2 linked regions of the Arabidopsis thaliana genome follow. The protein of the gene in region 1 interacts with the protein of each later gene in a pairwise test. Each region holds a gene or a part of one and is shown on either strand. Other genes may lie near its edges. The genes, in order: AHP4 and CRF1.

Region 1 (3,931 bases):
GAGGAATAAATAAAGCTGATTTTTTTTTGTATATGATCAATCTCTCTCTCTTCTGTAATTCGATCTCACGATGCTTGTCTGAGAGAGAAAGAGATATAGAAAGGAACAAATTATGCTGTAATGATAAAAAGATCTTTTATGTCTTTGTGTCAATCATTTAGATCACACTTGTTATGTGCTCTTCAGTTTTTCCTTTTTAGATACTTGTTCCTTGTTTCCAATAACAGAAATTTATGGTTTATTTTTTACTCGTTGGATATATGTATACCTTATTCTCTCTCTCTCTCTTTTTGGTTTCCTACTTCTTTCTTTTTTTGTTACAATATAGAAGTAGGAAACACACGCATCCGCACAAGTACTAGCCTTTCCTTGGCACACAACACCCTCTCACCTCCACACATTAATGGAAGAAACTTGGAAAAGATTTGCATCTAATTTTTCAATGTTTGTTGCAGCGGTCAAAGAGAAAGAAAACACATCAAACAGAAAACCCCAATAGAAATCTATTTATTTCTGGTCTTGATCATGATACTAACCTTGACTATGTTTTTAATATAAAAATGTCGTTTAATGTTTATCACAAGATATAATCCTTACTTAGTAATTGAATTCCGGACCCCAAACTAAAATACTTCGAATTAGTATTGCTTTCTGTTGTTGAAACAAAAGATAAGCAATAATAGTGTTTGCTAGTGTGCTAGATTCCAACAATTTTTTCTTCCAAAAGTACAACTTTTTTTTGCCCATTTCGTAAATTCATATGTACATATATAGTTGAATGTTGTGGGTGTACGTAATTGGTACCATTAAAATCAGGAAATCACAACCTTAAAAATAACAAAAAAAAAAAGAAAAAAGAAAAGACAATGATATTATAGAAAACTTTGTGAAAACATGAATTAAATTCAGTAATTAATCAAGACGGAAATGGTCTGTTCAGAATATTTTTCTTGAACTGTATACTTTTTCAATCTATAACTTTCTTTTTCACTTTCAGGAAAATTCGTGTCCACATACATTTTACTAGTATATATTTGCCTCATTTCCAAAGGTGTGTTTCGTATAGTATCAACGTTTAGCTTTTAGGTTCTATATTCGAAATTTTACATGTTTCTATGATGTACGTATATATATAATATTAGTCGTATTCCCATTCGTGAGATCCTTTGATTACTTATTAATTAAGATGCATTTCAGTTATATTTTTGGGCAATAGATCAATCATCCACAGTAGTTTAAGTTTCATAATGGACCATACTATTAATTAAACAATCAACATTGAGGAATTCTCTAATTGAAATCTCTTATTCAAAACTTTAACATAAACACTATCTTATATATATAAAAGATTACTATACATTCAAACTTATATATCAACACACATATATGATCATTTGATAACACCTACCATTTGTGTTATACATATATTTTATAGAGAAGTTATAGAAAATTATACTGAGTATACATCTATGTGTCATCGAAATAAGCTGATAATAACGAATACACGTTTTCTTTTTATGTCTGGAGTAGAATACAGCATTCATGCCCTTACGTTGCAGGTTCCCATCATTTTACAAATATTCTCTTCTCTTTTCTACTTTCTCTTTTTTGATGTAATACGATCTATTTATTTATTCTATATTTCACTATATATATCTCAGATGTCCAACGTTTCAGTATTGCATTGCCACTCGAATTACCTAAGATAAAAACGAATTATCACTTTGATTTTTCGCACTTATAGTTAAATCTATTCTCAAAATTTAAACAAACATGCAGAGGCAAGTGGCACTCATCAAGCAGTCCCTCTTTGATCAGGTTTTGGTCGTTTGTTTCTTCGTATTTTCGTAATATAACTTCGTACGTCGTACCACTTATATATGAATTTCTTCATATAATTTAGAAAATGACTAATATAGGAAAATGCATGCAGGGATATCTCGACGAACAATTCATGGAGTTAGAAGAGCTCCAAGATGATGCAAACCCTAATTTTGTTGAAGAAGTTTCCGCATTATACTTCAAAGATTCAGCTCGGTTAATCAATAACATTGACCAAGCTTTGTGAGTATTATTTTGTTTTCTATTATATATATATTTTTTTTTTTTCAGTTTTCTAATCATTTTTACAATGCAGGGAAAGAGGATCATTTGATTTCAATCGGCTGGATAGTTACATGCATCAGTTTAAGGGAAGCAGCACGAGGTAATTTCCCCCCTTAGTTTTTGACTATTCTAATTACGCCTTCAAGAAATAATTTTACTTAAAGAAATGCGAATACTTAAATGTTTATAAGATAAAAGAATGTAACGCAAAAGTACATTAAAATTACTTCCATTCTCATTCAGGATTCAATGACAGAATCTACTTTAACCAGAAATAATTAGATTTTATGATCGTTAGTTATACTGACAAATGTTGCATTTCTTTTTTTTGTAGCATTGGGGCAAGTAAAGTGAAAGCTGAATGCACTACGTTTAGGGAATACTGCAGAGCTGGAAATGCGGAAGGGTACTTTCGTCTTTATACTTATATACCTTCATGCTTCTCGTTTTTAACAGAAAACTAAGTAACGGGGTCAAAATGAAAATAAGTATAGTTTAGATGGCTAAAATTGCTGCAATTAATCCGCTGAACCTTGAACTTTTACTTTACTTCATTTTCGACCCCCTAATTAGTTTTCTTCGCTTTTTCTTACTTGCAGATGCTTGAGGACTTTCCAGCAACTGAAGAAAGAACACTCAACGTTGAGAAAGAAGCTTGAACATTATTTCCAGGCGAGCCAATAATCAATTATGCTTAATAATTTACATAATTAGAATGTGATTAGAAGTTATCATCAATCACTTTTGATATAGTATTTGCTGAAGTGAAATTTTTTGTAATGAACAGTTGGCAAGGCAGGCGGGGCCTAAGGAGACAGCACGTAGGCCCAAGTAAGAGAGAAAGAGAGAGAGACAGAGATAAATGAGGAATCGTCGTCGAATTTTGTAGCAAAACTATATAATAAATAGTTCCTCTTTATTTTTATATATTTCGATGTACGTTATAAAGAAGGTTTTGGACTTTTATATTATGTCCGTTAATAAACGGTCCAAATGTCTCTATGTTTTTCCCCTTATATCGCCAAATTTTCCCTTGGGAGTTTTATAGCTACGATTACCTCGTAACATATGGCTTCCTCTAATAACGGAATACAGAAAAGAGTGGACCAAAAAAATGCATTTTTTCGATTCTATGATGAATGCATTACCTTGTTTACAAAAGGAAAAAAAAAAGAAACTAAGCTTTACATTATTCGGTTTGTTTCCAGGAACCGTGTCCAAATCCTAAATATTCTTACCTATTTTTATATCATTATGTTAATATTTGTCTCTACTAGTACTGATTAATAAATATTTAAAAAAGAAAAAAAAAACCAAAATATTCTTAGGTAAAAGTCTAAAATAACATTATCATTATGTTACTATTTGTCTCTACTAAAACTAATTATTAAAAAAAAAAGAATGCCATGGCTTAGATGCAAACTATTCTTAGCTAAAAGTCTAAAATAATAACATTATCATAAACAATTAATATTACACTTTTCCATCTAATTTCTCTTACATGCCCTATTTTTCAAACGATGTCGTTTAAGAATATCACATAGACCTTCTATTTCATGAAAAAACTAACTCACCAATGCAAATAAATAAATCAAATGTTTGTTTGTGGATAAAGTAAAACGTTTTCTTTCAATGGCCCAGCATTTACTAAAATTTATTTCAAGTTCTTCCACGTAAAGTCTACACTACATACACTCATACAGGCAGTGTAACGCTGATTCGTAGAGCTGGAGAGTATCACAACAATAAATTTCTCTTCCGAAAGAAAACAGCCTAATATTAGGGAGATATTTACATACTCTATAAGATGTTCTTTAATCTCTTA
Region 2 (3,931 bases), on another chromosome or scaffold:
GAAAAAGTTACTATAGAGTTAAAAAAGAACAAAAGTTAAAGTACTACTGTATTATAGAAGTTTTTCCACACATGTAGCTTTCTTAAAGTTCAAAATAATATGAGTTGGTATGAATCAAATTCATTTTTTTGCATAGACACTTGCCAGGATTCGATTCTCCCCCACGTGTAATTCTAAAACATTTGCTCCAAAAGTAGAACAATTATGGTTTGCTAATATTGCTATTTGTCAAATAAACCCAATAAAAAGAAAGATTAACCAAAGCTTTTCACAAATTCGGTGATTCCTCGTCACGTGAGACAACACGTGATACGTCAAAAGACCAAAAGAAGAAAGAAAAGTAGTAAAGCGTGAAGAAACTCGTGCGTGTTTTGCCTCCACGCCGTTCATATACAGACGTTACTTAACGGCTAACGCCAAAAAGTTCACCATTTACCATTAGTTTTATTTAAAAATAAAATCACCATTAATTAAGTTACAAAAAAGTTTAATATATTTAACAAATCTTCATTCAAAAAATAAATCGCCGTTTTTTTTTAATCCTCGCCGTCGCCGGTAACAAAACTTCACTAAACGCCGTTAAACGGCCAGTTATTTCTTAAACAGTTAAGACAGGATCCGACCCGAATAAATCCCCAATATCTTGAAAATGGTCCTCAACGTGCCAGCTGGAGAATCCAGACCCAGACCCGAATCCAAACCCGGATCCAAAACTCATATCCGCAAAAAGATTATCTCCAAATAAATCGCCGCCGAAACTTTCACTCATCGACGTCGAGAAACCAAAAACGTCGTCGTCCGAGAACAACGGCGCCGAGAAATCTGAACCGTTAAAAGACGGCTCCTTTTTAACCACAATCTCCGCCGTCGATACACCGACAAACTCCTCTTTAACCGCAGTAGACTCGCCGGAGAACGGAGATTCGAGAACAGAAACCGGCGAACGAAGACATTCTCCACCGCCAATGATAAAATCCGAAACTCCTTTCACCTCCGTCGAAGCTTCTTCAACATTCTCCGTCACCGGAGGAGGAGGGAAGTTAAGCTCTGCGTTAGGACCACGTAGCTGAATAGCTGCGTTATCGTAAACAATGGCAGCTTCCTCCGCCGTGTCAAAAGTACCTAACCAAACCCTAACACGTCTACTCGGATCTCTAATCTCCGCCGCCCATTTTCCCCACGGTCTTTGCCTCACTCCACGAAACTTCCTCGTCGCCGTCGTAACAACCACTGGAACAGTAACAACGCGCTTCTTTCTCTTCTTCTTCATCGGCTTCTCTTTATCAGAAACCACCGAATCAAGCACCACTTCCTTCACGTACTTCTTAACACGACGTCGTTTTGTAGATAATGCATCAAAATCAACTTCTTCTTCTTCGTCGCTTGACGAATCTGTTGCGTAAGGATCAGTAACAGAGATTCGTAAGATTCTTGGGAGAGAAACTTTCTTCTCTGTCTCCATTTTTTAAATCTCTCTCTTTAAAACTGTTGTAATAGTTTTAACTTATGTGTGTTCTTCTTTGTGTCGTGTGTTTATATATAAAGACCAAAGTTAGGAAAAGTAAAGGGCAAAAAAGGAATAAAGAGAGAAAATTGGTAAAACAAGAGATTGATGCTTTGTAACAAGAAGATTTTCCCGGGAAAGTTGAAGAAAGCAGAGAGCTTTTTTAATATATGCTTATGGAATCAAGAGTTTGGTGAAGGAGGACACTAAAGAAGGAGATGCTTTTTTCTTATTTAGGGATGAAATTTCTTTTAAGAAATATTCCTGGGAATTTTTTTTTGCAGCGAAAAGAAAAAGTTTAGAGCAGAAGAAAAGAGTGACAAAAGATGAAGAAGAAGATAAAGAGAGAAGCAGAGCAAAACATGTAAGTGAAGAGAGTGACTCTGAATAGAACAGAGACTTTTATAGGATATTGAAACGGCGGTTGCGGCGTTTTACAATCCTTTTTTTTGTCATTAAGGGAAACAAAATTTGTATTTAATGACCTTGGAGGATGCGGTTTTAGTCTAACCTTTGACCTTAAGAATTTAAATAAATAGCAGTAATCAAGGGTGGTTAATAAATCTAATTAAATTCTTAAAACCTTTCTACGAAGAATCGCTCTTTTTCGTTCAACGACAGGGGTGTTTTGGTCATTTGCTAACTAAGTAAAAACAAATTAGACCGTTGCGGTGTGCAGGTTTTTTTTTTACTTTTTTACCTTTTTAGCAGTCTCTGGTCTTTTTCTACAGCAGGTTTCTGACGTGGCAGAGACGACAACATAGGATGTTACGTCAAAAAAAAACTAACTCCATTCGACTTGTGTGTCTTTTTAACGTTTTTTTGGAGTATTGATTAAATTTCTCTTGTTTTTGACATGAATATTAATTAAAATTTATTTTATTAAAGTATATTTTTGTCCTTTTTAACACTCTTTATAGAAAAACTCTCTTTTTCACTGCATATTTTCACGTGAGTGTTAAACCAGAGAAGAAACAAAGGCCTTTAATATATTGGTTCTTTTAACGTGGACCGTGTTTGGCTTTTTTCAAGATACGTTTTTCTACAAACAAAATATTAAAGTGTTGATTTGGCCAAAATTACAGAACACAGTAATATATGTGAAGTGAAATGGTAAACTCAAAAAAAAAAAAAAAAAAAAAAAAAAAAGAAATGGTAAACTCATTAAGCCACAATTATAACTTCCGAATCAAAATTATCAAGAAAATACAATCCGCAAAAAAAAATTCGTGATGTTATATACTTATATCTAATCACTTCATTTTTTTTAATCAAAACAACTAAGAAAGTAAAATAATATTTTATTAATTCTAGATTTAGAGAGATATTTTTTAAAAGAAAATAAACGCTATTATTCGGTGTTACTACAAACAAATGATACTTAATAGTGATACACATTTATTTATTTGTCTCATTTTTACTGGAAAGTAATTTGCTTTATAAGAATGAAGTATTTGCCTTATACCCTAAGGCCTAAGCAATATATGGATGTGATTAGTAACATATATGTTATGATTGATTTAATTTGAGGTATGGATGTTATATTCATAGTTAGCTTAAAAATATTGCTAAGTAAGAATTCATTTAAACTTTAGAGTTCGCGTTTTGTTGAGTATTAATGGTTGAGTTACAAGTTTTAGTTATCACTTCTGGAAACTTTATCTTACTATATAGTATTGTGTAAGAAAGCTCATCTTCTGTATACATTGGATGATATACTTATTCATGCTAAGCAAGAACTAAGAAAATAATTTACACAGCAAAAAATAATATTACAATTTATAACTATGTTGATAGCGGCAAAAGCTGAAATCTTTGTAATTCATCACCTTCACGGGGTACACACGACTCTACTAAAATAATTCATGTAAAATCTTGAGTCACCGATATCCACACGTGTCCCTTATGTTTAAATTTTAAAATGTGGATATTGCTTTTCCTAAATTTGGTTAGTATCTCTGACTAGTGACTATATAAACTTTTAGTTACTTATCTTAGCCGATTGGATAAATTTGGCTGACAAGTTTATAATAAAAAAAAAACCACTTCGTTTTAGTTTGTTATCTTGATGTTATTACATAGACAAATTGAGGTTTTGGCCTAAAATCATGTTAAAAAAGACATCAAATAAAACATCAAACCCCATTTTTGAAAACAAGTTAGCTACCCAATCATTTGAGAGTCCAATAAAAGTGGTAGTAATAGAAACTAGGTTTTCAAAGTTTCTTCGTGAGAATAAATAGCATATGATTAAAGGTAATGATGAGCCTTCTTCATGACACGAAAATAAAACAAAATAAGTAATGATGTGCCCTTGGTCCATGTAATATTATGATTATGACAAAATCATAGAGAAAGTTTTTTTAATAGCGGTAAATTACGATAATCGTAATAATGTATACTTAGGTTTTGAATAATGACTCAACC

The links.
Region 2: the proteins of AHP4 (region 1) and CRF1 interact in a protein complementation assay, tested with the Arabidopsis thaliana proteins (one study listed by BioGRID).

Annotation. Positions count from the first base shown.
Region 1 is NC_003074.8:5,552,578-5,556,508, forward strand, and holds AHP4 (HPT phosphotransmitter 4), read left to right. Parts: upstream 1-1,619; 5' UTR 1,620-1,773; coding exon 1,774-1,818; intron 1,819-1,896; exon of another isoform or gene 1,897-1,906; coding exon of another isoform or gene 1,907-1,933; coding exon 1,934-2,064; intron 2,065-2,137; coding exon 2,138-2,206; intron 2,207-2,440; coding exon 2,441-2,512; intron 2,513-2,705; coding exon 2,706-2,778; coding exon of another isoform or gene 2,779-2,790; exon of another isoform or gene 2,791-2,816; intron 2,817-2,893; coding exon 2,894-2,941; 3' UTR 2,942-3,212; downstream 3,213-3,931. UniProt on the Arabidopsis thaliana protein: Functions as a two-component phosphorelay mediator between cytokinin sensor histidine kinases and response regulators (B-type ARRs). Plays an important role in propagating cytokinin signal transduction through the multistep His-to-Asp phosphorelay.
Region 2 is NC_003075.7:6,794,332-6,798,262, forward strand, and holds CRF1 (cytokinin response factor 1), read right to left. Parts: upstream 2,068-3,931; 5' UTR 1,463-2,067; coding exon 599-1,462; 3' UTR 299-598; downstream 1-298.